Drosophila melanogaster: one gene and its partner. The protein of the gene in region 1 purifies or fractionates together with the protein of each later gene. This does not show direct contact. Each region holds a gene or a part of one and is shown on either strand. Other genes may lie near its edges. The genes, in order: tex and tho2.

Evidence for each region.
Region 2: the proteins of tex (region 1) and tho2 purify together in Drosophila melanogaster (affinity purification with western blotting; one study listed by BioGRID). This does not show direct contact.

What each region holds. Positions count from the first base shown.
Region 1 is NT_033777.3:8,305,678-8,312,997, reverse strand, and holds tex (tex), read left to right. Parts: upstream 1-4,352; 5' UTR 4,353-4,422; coding exon 4,423-4,512; exon of another isoform or gene 4,513-4,567; coding exon 4,568-5,102; intron 5,103-5,157; coding exon 5,158-5,495; 3' UTR 5,496-5,525; downstream 5,526-7,320. Other genes in the region: CG11698 (uncharacterized protein), read right to left, coding at 1-754; CG11694 (uncharacterized protein), read left to right, coding at 930-1,715; CG11693 (uncharacterized protein), read left to right, coding at 2,993-3,035, 3,092-4,020.
Region 2 is NT_033779.5:2,140,070-2,148,733, reverse strand, and holds the start of tho2 (tho2), read left to right. Parts: upstream 1-3,546; 5' UTR 3,547-3,702; coding exon 3,703-3,929; intron 3,930-4,108; coding exon 4,109-4,277; intron 4,278-4,367; coding exon 4,368-4,615; intron 4,616-4,680; coding exon 4,681-4,814; intron 4,815-4,884; coding exon 4,885-5,285; intron 5,286-5,342; coding exon 5,343-6,092; intron 6,093-6,153; coding exon 6,154-6,543; intron 6,544-6,601; coding exon 6,602-6,949; intron 6,950-7,011; coding exon 7,012-7,605; intron 7,606-7,663; coding exon 7,664-8,354; intron 8,355-8,421; coding exon 8,422-8,664. Other genes in the region: Tbcd (Tubulin-binding cofactor D), read right to left, coding at 1-87, 145-1,087; CG11723 (uncharacterized protein), read left to right, coding at 1,710-1,848, 1,921-2,834.

The DNA of each region.
Region 1 (7,320 bases):
TGCGCAGGAAGTTCTCGAGCGACTGAAGATCCTTTCGCTTCAGCATCTTAATCCTGCTCACCAGTTTTTGCAAAGCTTCGATCCGTTGCTGTGCTTCCTTGGCGGCGTCGTTGGCCTTCTTAGCGCTCTGCTTATTTCGCTCCAGATCCTTCTGAGCCTCGCACATGCAGCTATGGAGCTCTTCCACCCGCATCCTGGCCGCTTTCAGAAGGCTGCGCTTTTCCAGGGCCTCTTTCTGGGCACTGTCGGCCATCCTCCGGATGTTATCGAGATTTCCGCCCATTTCCTTTAGCATACTCTTCATAATGTTCACGGATGTGCAGAGCTTGTCACGGATCCCCTTTGCCGACGTCGCCGAGCACGAGCTGGCAGCAATGGCTCGTTGGATTTCCTCGATAACCCTGTTCGTTTCTGCCAGACTTTTGGTGTATTCATCGAGGAGCTGCTTCTTCCCGTTGAGAGCCGCCTCCGCAGCCTTGGCCGCCTGCAACGCCCTGTCCGCCAGCATTTCCCGTGCCCTGTAGCCCGCCATCTCCGCGGCACATGGCTGCGCATCCTTGGCGTCCTTCGCATCCTTGGCCGCCTTCGAGGCCACCTGGCTGGCTTTCATGCTCGTCTTGCAGGGAAGGGAGCCGGGCTTGAAACGCGGATCATTCCGCTGGGCAGGATGCGCGGCGGTCGACAGCAGGATGTTCGAAAGAAGCAACATCGTAACCAGGGAGTCGCAACGCATTGGGAATCTTGCATCGTACATAAATCTCAAGGCTCATCAGGAAATCGAAATGTGGAGATAATAATGGGAATATAGCAGCTCCACCTTTCAAATCACTATTATTTGAAATATTTGTACAGTAACCACAAGTTACCTGGAGTATATATTTCTTAAATATCTTTAGAAATCCGTTTAATACAACTATTTCGAGTTAAGCATGGAGATAGCACGAATCGCATTTCTACTTTTCTTCCTGTTCTCAGATCATTCTGCGGGCCACAAGTTGCCGCAGTCCTCCAATGAGATAGCTGCTCTAATGTCGGATCATCATGGTGATGGCGACAACAGTGTGTCGTCATCCTCCGGCGGTGCCCCGTGCGACTTCAAGATGAATGGAAAGACCAGGGTAAAGGCCTCATGCATTGCGCAGAAGGCGGCCAAGGAAGCCATGGAGGCATCCGATGCCCAGATAGAGGCTGGCGAGGCAGCTGCCCGCCAGGTGAAGCAGCAACTGGCCGACAAAGCGCTGGCCGCAGCCAAGGCGGCAGAAGCTGCTCTGGCCGGCAAGCAACAGATTGTCGAGCAACTGGAGTCCGAGGTGCGCGAGGGGGAGCTAGTGGTCCAGGAGGAGAGCACCTTGTTACAGACCACCCAAACTACTTATGCTGCGGCCGGGCAAGCGGCCAAACAGGCGGCAGATCAGCTGAACACCATTACGCTGGCGGTGAAGAATGCGCAGGATAATGTGGTCAACTCGGAGCACGTGGCCAGTGGCGCTCAGCAGGAGCTGGGCGAGAAGCAACAGCTTGTGGAAGCGGCCAAGAAGCGGGTGGAGCTATTGCTCCGCCAGCTGGAGGTGGCCCGTGTGGATTTCAAGAATACCAAAAACGCCGCCGAGAAGGCAGCCTGTGCTGCCCAGGAGGCCAGGCATAGGGCCACCAGGGAGCGCAGGAGGGCGGAACTGAGGCACTTACTCTGGCTGAAGAGGGGGCGCACCAACTGAAGCCAATAACTTGTATATCTTATATTTTATTTTACTTTGCATTTTCAAAAGGGAGAATATAATTCAGTTTTATTAAATTCAATAGTTCGTAGGTGAGATCACAATTATAAACTACAAATTGTGACATCAAGTTTATCATGATGCAATTGGGGATTACGGGGCGTATACTCAACACACCTCGCTAAGCTTCCGAACACTCCTCCGTGTTCACACGCGGATCTGCGAGGAAGCGAACAATCATCGGACTTCATCGGTCTTTCGTCATATGCAATCTCTCCCGGAGCGGGCATTTAAAGCGTCTCATGGCAATTAGACGCTCTGCCATAATTGCGGCTACAAATTATCCAATCGAGCAGCCGCCTGGTAGCATTGACCCAGCACCATCGTTGTTGGATGATGGTGCATGGCCAGCTCGCGAGGAAAACCAACAGCCAACGGGTTTGCACTTTCTTTCGGCGACCCGACCAGTTCGTTTATAAATACATGGCGCCTCTGGTGGCCAACTGGCAATCGTCGTTGAGTCTCCACCGGATTTACTGCGCCCACTTGCCGCTCCCCCAGCCACCAGCCTCCAGCTCTACCTGTTGCGCGCTCCTAGCTTCATCTAGTGCGAAAGTAAAAGCGTTTTTCACCGAACTCGTCCATCCACATTGACTCCGCTTGGCGGGCGATCCTCCACTCGAGTCATAAGCATTTTATCTCTGGTCCGCACAGGACGTTCGTGTCGGTCAAGTCCAAGTCCAAGTCGAGATCGAGATCGAGAGGTGCGTTGGTGTCAAAACTGAGTGATTGGTGTGTGCCTTGTGTGCAGTGTCCAGTTTGGCTGCGCTTCAAACTAAACAGGTTCTCTCGTGGAACATATCATTCCGTGACCCACTAACGACTTACCGGCCATCCTAGAGCAAAGAAAGTGCCGCACCATAAAATATTAGCTAATAGGCAAAGCGGCTATGTAACCGGTTGCCCAATGATTATGCACTCGCAAAAGGTGTCCTTCAGATGTGAAGATATTTTTAATGCAGAATGAAGTGGTACATTTCGTAACAAGTTTATTTTAGTGAGATGCAATCAACAACTAACTAGCTAACTAAACTGAAAAGCATATACATACGTGAAAAACAATGAAGAAACTTTTCCCCAATTAAAAACGGAAATTTGTTTTCTTTCAGCACTCGGCGTGCGACAGAGGAACCCAAAAGCTTGCGCCTGCGGTGATCACGAGTCTTCCGGTTGTGCGACTTCCTTTCGCCAGCTGCTCCATTGCATAATCGCCAGAGATGCCATCGCTGCTGCACCTGCTGCTCCTGGCGCTGTTTTTGGGTGAGTCGCACATGACTTCCTCATGCAAATGTGGCTAAATTGGGACTTTGATTTAGTGGCCATGCCGACGCAGGGTCGCAAGATCAAACGGAAGGAGCCACACTATCACCATCACGTCAATGTGCCGCCGCCACCACCGCCGCCATCGCCCCATGGACCGGGTCCAGTGCCCCAGCAAACGGCGGTGATCGAGCACGAGGTGCCGCCATACACCTACGAGGCGATTAACCACGACGAATTCGAACCGGCCAAGGTGAAGCTCTCCCACTTCGAAGGCTCCTCCGATTACATAGTGCACTCCCACCGCGGAGGCGGTGGAGGAGGAAGCGGTGGCTACCTGGCCGACAATGGATTGCGCAGCATAGCGAAGGGTTCAGCGGATCAGGCCCTGTCCGCAGTGGCCAGCCAAAATGCGGCAGGCAAACAGGCATCCTATGTGGCCAAAAGTACTCTGGCTCAGGCGGCAGCACAAGCAGCCGGCACAGCTGTGGCCGTGCTCAAGGGCAAAGAGGTGCTGCTCCATCGGCTGGAGGATCAGAGCGTGGAGGCCCACAAGGCCATGGAGAACGAGCTGACCCAACTGCAGCAGGCCAAGAGATCCGCCAAGGCAGCCCAATATGCCGCCCAGCAGGCCATCAACCATGTCAGTGTCCTAACTGCCGCACTTAACAATGCCCAATCCGCCTCGGAGTTGGCACAAAAGGCAGCATCGGAGGCGGCGGCCGAGCTAGCTTCGCAAATTGATATGGTGGCCCAGGCCAAGACCAAGCTGGAGCACGCCGAATCGCAGGCTTATGCAGCTCGACTGGACTACGAGGAAACGCGCGATGCGGCGGAGAAGGCTACCTTGTCCGCCCAGGAGGCGCACTTGAATGCCAATGACGCGGCCTTGCATGCCAACGTGGAGCTAGCGGAGAATGTGCATATCCACGACAAGAGCGATCGGAATGTGCGCGAGCCGCCGCGAAACCACAGACTTCAATAGTGCACTGCCACAATCTAGGCTTGTAATTCTTATTTATTTGTTTTCCTCATTTAATGTTTGTTTTGCTGCAGCGATACAATAAAGTTTTGTTGACATTAAACTCTCTCTCTCTCTCTCTCTCTCTCTCTCTCTCTGCTTGTTTAAATGTTTGCAGCGCAAACAATAGCGTAATTAACAACAAAAGATATGAGCTTGAATGTTGGCAGAAACTCGTTTGAAAACGTTACCTCAGAGATTGTAAGAATATTTGAATTAGCCGCTAAGCCAGGAATCGATATATTGGTGTGAGTCCTTGCTAATGCAAATCGGGCAGTTAGTATAATTTGGTTAGTGGGCTACAGTCACATTGTTGTTTAGATCTTTTAAGAAAAAGCCGGTTGAAATATAAATAAACATTTAACAATGAGTCGCACGGAGCAGACATTGGAAGACCTGAAGTCGTATTTGCGGAGTCACAGCAAAATCCGCGAGCAGCGGTCGCACATGTCTAAGGTGAGCACGATGGCCACATTTATTGGGCAACCAATGAATTCCCGCCTGCCCACAGGTTCACTCGGTCTGCTGGAATGCCGATGGTCGTTACCTGGCCTCCGGAAGCTTCGACAAGACGGTGGTCGTCTACTCGCTGGAGCGGGACCGCTTCTTGAAGGGCAACACATACCGGGGACACACTGCGTCCGTGGACCAGCTGTGTTGGCATCGCACCAATCCCGACCAGTTTGCCACCGCAAGCGGAGACAAGACCGTGCGCATCTGGGACATACGAGTTGGAAAATGCGTATCGGTGACGAACACCAAGGGGGAGAATATCAACATTGCCTGGTCGCCCGATGGCAAAACGATCGCCGTGGGCAACAAGGAGGATCTGATCACCTTTATAGACACACGCACGAACAAGATTCGCGTGGAGGAGCCGTTCAGCTTCGAGGTCAACGAGATATCGTGGAACAACACCAACGACCTGTTCTTCCTAACCAACGGACTCGGCTGCATGCATATCCTCAGCTATCCCAGTCTCGAGCACCAGATGACCCTGAAGGCCCATCCCGCCAACTGCATTTGCATTGAGTTCGGACCCACGGGTAGGCAGCCATTGCAATCTCATATCATATCTAAATATGCCTCTTTCGTTTCCAGGTAAATACTTTGCCACTGGCTCGGCGGACGCACAAGTCTCCTTGTGGGATGCCAACGAGCTGGCCTGCCTGCGCATGATCAGCCGCCTGGAGTGGCCCGTCCGCACCATATCGTTTAGCCACGACGAGCGAATGATTGCCTTGGCCAGCGAGGACCTCATTATCGACATTGCCTTCACGGAGACGGGCGAGCGGGTAACCGACATTCACGTGGACGCCTCCACGTTCACGGTGGCCTGGCATCCGAAGCAGTACCTGCTGGCCTACGCCTGCGATGAGAAGGACAACGATCGGCGACGTGACGCTGGCAACGTTAAGATATATGGCTTTTCGGAATAAAGTAACCTAGTTTAAGGCGCATCTGATGGTAAAGACCACCCTGTTTGCTTTCCAATTACCTTTTCGAGTGTGACTTTATCGACGTACCTGACCGTCGATGATGCACTTTCGTGTTAACTGGGTCACGTTGCTAGCCGAGCGAGCATTCTAGGTTATCAATTGCAGGGCTTCGCCGGCGGACGTGTTCGTGGCAGCCATTTCGGTTTTATCATCTCTGGCTCGCTTTTATGGCTTTGCCGGACCCAGCTGATGCGCCCTGCTGCTCCAGGAGCTGCTCAATCGGCGCAGCTGAACGTTGCAAGCACTTTGCTTTTATCATGCAAATAACGACGCTGGCGGATGCGAATGCTGACCCAATGCATGTAGCTAGCTTTACGGCAATGGCTTCCTGCTTCTTAAGCTATTAATCAGTGTCAGCTTTTCGAGGGCTCAATCCCGGAAAGATGTTGGCTGGCGTGCATGGTCGCTACGACCATATTAGGCAGCTAAACTGGAGAGCCATAAGGTCAAGTTTTGTGGAGCTGGCGCGAGTGGGAGTGGGTGGGCTCTTACTTTCTGCACGCGGCGCAAGTGACAAACAAACAAGCAAGCTAACACGTCGTTTGTATCATCACTCGCATCGCAGCATCGCCATTTGTATGCCGTCCAAGTGCATTTCCCGCCAAGTGCAGCGCACTCCAATCCCCTCCACCCGCGCAGCCATCCAACCACTCGAAACCACGTCAATATTTGCTTTACTAAAAGTTTTCGATAAATTTCGGTTTCGAGATGCCAGCTTGCGTTCGTTGGCCGGGGGGAGGGGAGCGGATTGCGTTTGATGGAAAATATAATTTACAGTTAATTGTCGTAAGTGGAAGCAGTGAAAGAGTGTTTTTGGCCAAGTGATGAGTACTTTAAATAGCCATAGTTTTCATTTGCTTTCGTTGCCTATATTTACTGTACATATAAATCTTTATAATCTTTAGTTACTAAATTCCAATTTGACTTGGCTAGATATTTTCCAATTGGTTTTCTCATCAGAGCGAAACAGCATTTCTACTTTATTTTTACGTCGTTTTATGTACACCGTGTACACGTGTCAAATTTTAACAGCCAGCTTACCCCTCTCTATTCAGCACAGCTGTTAAGCGCGAATGCAGACTGTTAGTTTACATAGCTCGGTTTCTCGCATGCGATAAATATAACATTTCTATAATAATATGGAATAGAACGCTTCTGTTAAATTTTCCCCTTCGCATGCAAATGTTAATGAAATGTAATGAATGCAATAAAATGTTATTCTCGACATTTTCTCAAATCTGTACAGGAATTGCACATAAAACACGCGTGAAATGTAAATGTAACTGTATATTCCATATTTCATATTTTAGTTTTATTTATTATTTTATTTATAGATGCAAATATGCGAAGTTATAATGTTAGAGTAAAGTTATAAGTTAAGAGAAAAAATTATGTTGTGAATAAATTTGTTTGCCACACTTAAATGCAAAAGTGGCGTGTCTTCCGAATTTTAGCAGCTGTTCTTCAATTCTCACAAGATAATTGTCAATTGATCGGAAAGGCAAGCATACAAAAAAAGTCGAGTGCAAGTCATAAAACTTAGAGCAGTAAATAGTTTCTGGGCCACTTGCCCAGCCCCTCGCACACTTTTCAATTCTGCTGTCACTTTGGACAAACTTTGACTATGCGGATTTCTTTAGGGGGGTGGATCCAGACGACTGGAATTTATGTTTGCTGTCGTCGGGACTTATGCGCTTTCGACTGCTGTTTTTTCCCCAAAGCGAAGTACCGAAATTAAAGTGCCCGTAAATTGGCTAGAACTTTG
Region 2 (8,664 bases), on another chromosome or scaffold:
CGCCTTCCTCCAGGGATTGCTCCAAAACAACTGGTTCACCTCCTGCCGCAGTTGTCTGGTTTAGATTGGTGGCCAGTGAACGAGTGCCTAAGAAAACACTAGTTTATTATGGTTTCATGCGTGAATAACAAACCCCAGGCTTACCTCTTTTATACCGCCAGCTGGCAATGCGTGGCTTCAAATGAACCAATCCAATTCTCTGGATGATTTTTACATAGTTCTTGTACTTGAGAAAGTCGTTGTCATCCTTGTACTGACAGGAAGTGATCCACTGAAGAAGTTTGTCCGCATAGGGCAGAAGATCTTCTCGCTTTCCGTGCTTTAAAATAGCAGCCACTGCAGCCAGTTGGCCGAACTTGACGTTCAACGTGTCCGCTTGGTGCTGCTCCATAATCCAGTCCAGGAAGCGCTCCAGATATAGATCCTTGATGTCACTGCGAATGAAATACTTGGCGGCCAGGAAAGCAGCCATGCTGCTGCATGTGTCGTTGGAGGACACATAAAGCTGGATGAGCTCGAAGATGCGATCCATCTTGGTGTTCTTCGACTGAACATGGTTCACGGGACTGCAATTGGTGGTGGGAGCAGATGTGGAGGTGTCATAGGCATCTAGTCTCGACATGTGAAAGGGATTTAGGACCAGGATAGACATCCACAGGAGCAGTATATAGCGCGTTTCCCACTGTTCGAACTCCTTGGGATTTTGCTGACCCAGCAAATCCAGAACAAACTCCAGATCGCTCAGTTCGTGTGGCATAAACTTTACCAGGACCTTATAGGTGCGCACTTTGCAGATGATGTAGAGATACTTGAAGGCTGCATGAAGCTCTCCAGTGTCTAGATCTGGCTTCCGAATCTTGTGGAGCAGTTTGCCGAGTAACTCCTCCAAATGTGGATCCAAGAGGTGTGGCTGCTCCTGATATCTAGACAAAACCTGGGCGTACTGCTCGAACTCCCTTTCGAAGGTGTTAGCGGCAATGGATTTGATGTTGTCGATCATCTCCAGCACCTGCTGCAGTTCGGTGAAGTGCTCCAGCGTGTTTGCCGGCAGGTCCTCATCCTTGCACTCTTCCACAGAATTCGACATGGCTGCTTGACGATTTTATCGAGTTTTAAACCCACAGCCGGCAACAAAATCAATTCGTTTGTGAATCATTTGTTTTACTGCCAGGGTTGCAACCCCAATGAAAGTATGCTGGTATGACACCACGAACTGACTCGTCTCTTTCTTACTGTTTTTCGACCAAAAGGGTCTTTATCTAATTCTTTATCTTTAAACTAACATTTTTTTTTGGAATCAAATGCAGTTATTGTACATTGTGCTCTTTAAACGTTTGTAATAAATCCTACTAAATAAGTTCATCTAGTGTCATAGTGCCTTTGGTGTGGCCGTTTTGCATGCACCTGGTAATACCGTTAAGCAGCTGTTCGACCAGAGCTGCCAGGCGCAATTAATCATTTATTTGTAGTGGCAAGCGAAACTGCGAGATTTAGCAAGAGCAAGATTTTGTATATTCCACCAAAACGCAGCAAAGCAAGCCCGAATTTGGGATATTAAAAGTGTTACCGTCGGGTCGAAACCGCTCACACATTCGTCGAGTTTGCTGTGAGCGCGGTCATTGCTGTGAAAATTGCGTTGAAAATTCGGGATCCGCAAGTTTCGGAGCATTGCATTTGTGGACAAACCGCAATTTCTGGTCCACTGCGCCATGAAATCAGATAACTACCGTCTCATACAGGAGGTGTCCAAGCGGCGGTGCCTGTGGGACACAAACATGTCCATTTCGTACCGCAACCAGGACGCAGCTCTCCAGTGGGCGAGTGTCGCGCAGATAATGCAGCAGGATGGTGAGTGGCGGATAAACGAGGAGGGTTTTATATGCCTAGGAAACCTATAAATAACACCTGGTCATTTTGCAGTCTCGATCTGCAAGAAACGTTTCAAGGGAATGCGGGACAGCTACCGGGCAGAGGTGCGCAAGATACAGCAGAAACGAATCGAGATGTCCCACTGGCCATACTTTCGCTCACTGGAGTTCATGCGCCAAATCTTCGATCCGGAGGGCCTGGTGCCCTTTCCACCAGAGCCCTTCGTGATGAACACCGAGCAGCCGGAAGTCTTCGAGCCCACCCGACTGGTTGACTTCGCTATCGATTTGGATTTGGACAATGATGACTCTGTTGACTTTGAAATCATCGAGGACATATTTAAGCGGGAGCCGTCAGTGCCCCAGGACTCTGGCTCGGATAAAGGCTCGCTGATCAAGCCTTTGGATTCTTCATCCTCGGGCGCCCATCGTTCCGATCAGGATCTATCGCCCACATTGCCCATACACTTGCCGCGCCACCAACAATTCCTGCCACGTCCACCCCCGCCTTCGAAGAGAGGACGTCGGAGGAAAACTTCGCCGTCTAACGATGTCCCCTTATTGAATGGATACGCCAGCCAGGCGTCAAAGTCTACCACTGAACCCGATCTAAAGAACGATTCGGACTTGAGTTTCTTGATGAGCATGATGCCGCACGTAAAGTCTCTGTCAGCCATTAGCAATCTTAAGTTTCGAATGGAGATGGCGCGCGTTCTGGTGGAACTCAGGGAGGAGGATCAGCACATGCTCGCGGCGGCGGGACCCGAAGACGTTCTAGAGCGCAGCATGCCCAAACTAACACCAGCCCCGAATTCCAGTTTTGCCACTCAGCTGGAGAAATCCCAGTACCATCTATCCAATTCCAGCTACCAAATCAGTAGCCGAAAAACACCAACTTCGTTTGACTATGTCGACAGCTCCATGGTTGAGTGCGATGTCAAGATAGAGAATGAGCCTCTGCTATGAAGACTTCATACCAAATTTTTACGATTTTACATTCACCAATAATTCTCTAAGGAGTATTCCTTTCATATTGTTACAAGTCTTAGATGAAACCCTACTCATACATGAGTAGTTGTTTGGCAAAATGCCTATCATAAGACCATTATCCACACGCTGAATTGCTTGTAAAATATTGATTTGTATTGTCCAATAATTTAACCATTTTGACTCCGGGTATGCCATTCGCGGGCTGTTTTAAAGCAATTTACACGAAATGGAATATACAAACAAAATAACAGCTGATGCTGATTAAATTTTAAGGTTTAGCTTATCATTGGGATGTCATCTGGAAGGAATTTTAATGGATTTGAATTGATTTAAGATTCTGTTTTCGAATAGACACGTAATAAATATGTGCATACGATTTAAAAAAGGTCCAATGATTTTAAGGTGAGATAATCCTAAAATCGATTCGGTTTCATTTCCCGATGTTCCACTACGAAATGTCAACCATAAATAAAACAAATAAAAGAGGCAACTTGGTCGAAAACAATCTCAGTTCAATTGTAATGAAAATTGACGTCCGGTGCATAATTTATATATAATAATATATATCTATATATATATAAATAATAACAATTCAAGATTATTTGCTAGTTTATGTTCCTTGTCTAACGTTCCAGAAAAAAAGTAACTTGGCATTTGGCAGTCGGACGTTTTCGTTTCGGCGAATGGTATTTAGTTAGGCAGCAGTACGGTCACACTGGCGGAACTAACTAAAAAAAAGTGTGAAAATTTGTCAAATATTTCGACAAGTACAACGATCTAATCGATTCGGGAGCAGAATTCAGCCCCCGCAGCAAAGCGCCCGCGTGTACCACCTGATCCGAGGATGCAGAGATCCACAGACCGGTTGCGCCGGCTGAAAAAGCTGAAGAGCGTTACGGGAGCGCAGGATGGCGTTGGTGGCGGCGATGCGGCGGCGACGGCGGATAATCGGACCTCCGCATCGTCGGACACGAACGGAGCAGCCGCCAGTAGCGGAGCCGGCGGCAATCAGCCAGGCACACTCAATCCGGAGGTCTTCAAGCACTTGGACAAATCCGGACGCAGTGAATTGTACGTGTGTGGTACCACGCTCCGACACCGATGCAAACGCAGCCAGAGATATATGCACACGCGCCCAAACACTCGCACTCGCAGTACAGTGGCTGTCGTCAGTTTGTGTCTTGCTGCTGGATCGACTGTTTGGACTGACTGTTCCTCGTTCCCTAGCTAAATTACACGTTTACTTCTAGCCTGAAGTACCTCAAGCATCAGTTGCAGGATGCGGCGGATACGCCCGTTTACGACAAGAACGGCGTCTTTAAGCAGGGCATCTCCAATGCCATATACCAGCTTCTTTGGCAGACTCTGCGCTTCACTCACAAAAAAGACATAGTACTCCACCTGCTCCTGGAAGTCGTGGTGAGTTGAATTTGTTGTTGTAAAGAAAGATTTATAAGGCATTTACTTCTTAACAATTGTCGCTATATATAACGTTTTCCTATGTTGCAGGCCCTCCATGCGGACTTTCCCAGCCTTATAGTGGACGTGGTTAACATTCTGGACAGCGAAACCTCCCTTATAACCGATGGACTTCAGGAAGAACGACATGCCTTTGTGCAACTTGTTAAAGACTTGGACAGGGTGATTCCAGAAAGTCTTTTGAAAGAACGTTTGGAAATCGATACGTTGCAGGAGGCGGGAATCGTCAAGAACAAGAGCTTTTACTCTAAGTTCATCAAGGTCAAAACCAAGCTATAGTACGTACATATAGTAAAAGCGATTTGAGGTTAATAAAATATATAATCTCTACTTTCCCTTTAAGCTACAAGCAGCGTCGGTTTAACCTTTTCCGCGAGGAGAGTGAAGGGTTTGCCAAGCTTATCACAGAGCTAAACCAGGAGTTCGACGAGAACACCACTCCAGAGAGCATAATGGATATCATAAAATCCCTTATAGGTAAGATAGTTTTGATAGCTATGAGGAAACACAGTCAAACCGACTGCATTAATTGTTAATTGAATTGCAGGCTGCTTCAATCTGGATCCTAATCGTGTGCTGGACATTATTATCGAGTCCTTTGAAACTCGTCCGGATCGATGGAACTTGTTCATACCCCTGCTGCGCAGCTACATGCCCACTGGTGCCATTATTTGCGAAGTCCTCGGCTACAAGTTCTGCCACTTTAAGGACTCCCGCACTCCCCGCTCGTTATATCATGTATGTGCTCTTTTGCTTAAGCATGGCGTCATTGCTCTGAACGATGTATACGTGTGGTTGACTCCAAACGATGGGAGCATTAAGGCGGACTGGGAGGAAGACCTGGCTGATGCCAGGGAAATGGTCCGCAAGCTGAACCTTATACAAACCAATAAGAAGGAAGACGAAAAGGATCCACCACCGCCGCCTTCAGTTAAGAAGTTCAATGAGGTAGATTTAATAAACGTTTTTTGAGGGATTCTACTAACGATATCGTTTTATTCGCAGGAAAAATACAATGCAAACCAAAAATTTGGCCTCTGCGAAGCTTTGCTTAAAGTTGGCGACTGGGAGAATGCGTACAAGATCATCCAGAAGCTTCCCGAGCAGGCGGTTGTATTGCAGGAACCCATTGCCCGTGCCATTGCCGATCTGATTCACCTGTCCGTGGAGAATATTTATTACAAAAAGTGTTTTAAGGCTCCCGCAGGACGTAGGCCGAGCCGCAATCGCCTGTATGAGGATTCCAAGTTGGTGGCCAAGATGCAGGCAAAGGAATTCGGCGACTTAAGGAAGTACACCTGGCCGATGGCTAACGTGTTGGGACCTGCCATGCACTACGACACTGTGCTGATGTACAAACTAATCCGTATTATGCGGAAACTAGTTGTCGATATGGGCGTGGACAGCCTAAATGGACCTCCGCCGAATTCGGAAGCAGAGCAGCACTACTATGACATTATGAGCTCGCTGGACGCCTGCATTCTACCCTCCCTTCTATACTTGGACAACAACTGTTCCATGTCCGAAGAGATCTGGGCTGTGCTTAAATATTTCCCGTATCATTTTCGCTACAGTTTGTATGCGCGTTGGAAGAACGACAGCTATCAGCTGCATCCCAATTTGATCAGGAGATGTGGATTGGCACAACGGGATATTAAGGCCCTAATGAAGCGCGTGAGCAAGGAGAACGTCAAGCAGCTGGGACGACTGGTAGGAAAGTATAGCCATTGTGCGCCAGGACTGCTTTTCGACTATGTGAGTTTCATCTAGGTACTATTCCAAAACAGTTTATTCATTTCCATTACTATTTCAACAGATTCTCTTGCAAATTCAAATCTATGATAATCTAATTGGTCCGGTCTGCGACCTGCTCAAGTATCTTACTGCCTTATCCTTTGACTGTTTGGGATACTGCATCATCGAGTCGTTGACGTTAACAGGTCGTCTCAGGTTCAAGGATGACGGCACTTCGTTATCCTTGTGGCTGCAAAGTCTTGCCTCCTTCTGCGGCACCATATACAAGAAGTACAGCATTGAGCTAAGTGGTCTGCTTCAGTATGTGGCCAATCAGTTAAAGTCGCAGAAGAGCCTGGACTTACTGATTCTGAGGGAGATCGTGCATAAGATGGCAGGCGTGGAGTCCTGCGAGGAGATGACTAATGATCAGTTGCAAGCCATGTGTGGTGGTGAGCAGCTCAGGGGAGAGGTAATTATCCAAGTCACTGCAATATTGTTCTGTTAATTGAGTGTATTTGTCGCTATAGGCTGGCTACTTTAGTCAAGTGAGGAATACGAAAAAGTCCTCTAATCGCCTAAAGGAGGCATTGGCCAATAACGATCTTGCCGTGGCTATTTGCCTTTTGATGGCTCAACAGAAACACTGCGTCATTTATCGTGAGACGGCGGCACACAGCCATTTGAAGTTAGTGGGAAATCTGTATGATCAGTGCCAAGACACACTCGTCCAGTTTGGTACGTTCCTAGGCTCCACCTATTCTGTGGATGAGTATGTGGAGCGGTTGCCCTCGATTATAACCATGCTTCGAGAGTACCACATAAACACGGATGTGGCCTTCTTCTTGGCTAGGCCCATGTTTACTCATCAGATCAATGTAAGTTCGAGCAAACCATTCTGCAAAATATTACAAAAAGGTTAACCGAATCCCTCTTACAGCAAAAATATGATCAATTGCGCAAGGATGACCCTAACGCCAAGAAGCTCACCACGACGCAAAAGCTCCAGAAGTATTTGGAAGCTACGCAGCTGATCATGAACCCTATTGTAGAGTCTGTTCGTCCACTGCACAGCTCCAAGGTGTGGGAGGACATTAGTCCGCAGTTCCTGGTAACTTTTTGGAGTCTGAGCATGTACGATCTGCACGTGCCGAACGAAAGCTATCAGAGGGAGGTTGCCAAGCTAAAGCAGCTGGCCCAGCAAGCGGCAGAAGGCAAAGACTCTAACCAATCTAAGAACAAGAAGGAGCAGGAGCGCTACATTGCGCTAATGGAGAAGCTGAACGACGAGCGAAAGAAGCAGCATGAGCACGTTGACAAGATCTCGCAGCGTTTGCAGGAGCAAAAAGATAGTTGGTTCCTTCTACGATCTGGCAAGTCCGCAAAGAACGACACCATCACGCAATTCCTGCAGCTCTGTCTCTTCCCGCGTTGCACCTTCACAGCTCTGGATGCGTTGTATTGCGCGAAGTTCGTGCACACCATCCACAATCTCAAGACATCGAACTTCTCAACCTTGCTGTGCTATGATAGGGTAATAAGACTAAATACATTTACTTAAACTCGATCTTACTCCTTCTTCTTGTCCTCAGATCTTTTGTGACATCACTTATTCGGTAACATCGTGCACTGAGGGCGAGGCTACGCGGTACGGACGCTTTTTGTGCGCCATGCTCGAGACCGTGATGCGTTGGCATGCGGATCAGGCGGTGTTTAATAAGGAGTGCGCCAATTATCCTGGTTTTGTGACAAAGTTTCGTGTTAGCAATCAGTTCTCAGAGGCCAACGATCATGTTGGCTACGAAAACTATCGGCATGTGTGTCACAAGTGGCACTACAAGATTACCAAGGCGATTGTATTCTGTCTGGACTCGAAGGACTTTATGCAGATCAGAAACGCACTGATCATCCTAATGCGAATACTGCCTCACTATCCAGTTCTTTCCAAACTGGCGCAAATCATCGAGCGTAAGGTGGACAAGGTGCGCGAGGAGGAGAAGACAAAGCGACCGGATCTGTATGCCATTGCCTCCAGCTACATTGGACAACTAAAGCTGAAGACTCCCCACATGCTAAAGGAGAGTGTCTTTCATCAAATCGCCGAGCGGCCGAATAAGGAGTCGCCGACCAGTGTTGGCGCTCCCGCCGCAGCCACCAGATCCGATAAGTTGTCACCCACCTCTCCATCTGGGAATACACAAGGAACAAGGGCTCCAGGCGGAGCTGCTCCTTTCTACAACAGCGAACAAAAGTCGGTGATCAAAGAACCAGATGCAAAAGCAGGTGAGTTGAAATATTAAATGAATGTAAATCTTAAATCTTAAATCATCAAATCTTAAATATGTTTTAGCCTCCACAACGCGTGAATCGAAGAGCCAAAGAGGCGAGGGCAATAATGTCACTTTGGTGTCCACAGCCACTTCAACGGCATCCAATAACGAACGCGAGAGCAAACAACGTGACCTGCCAGCGCCACGTGAGTCCCAATCCCGCAGCAAGGATGACCAGCAGGAGCAGGCAAACAACGGCAGTAATGGCAGCCGACAGAGCGAGAGTCGTAATAGAGATGTGGAACGAGACCGACATGATCAGC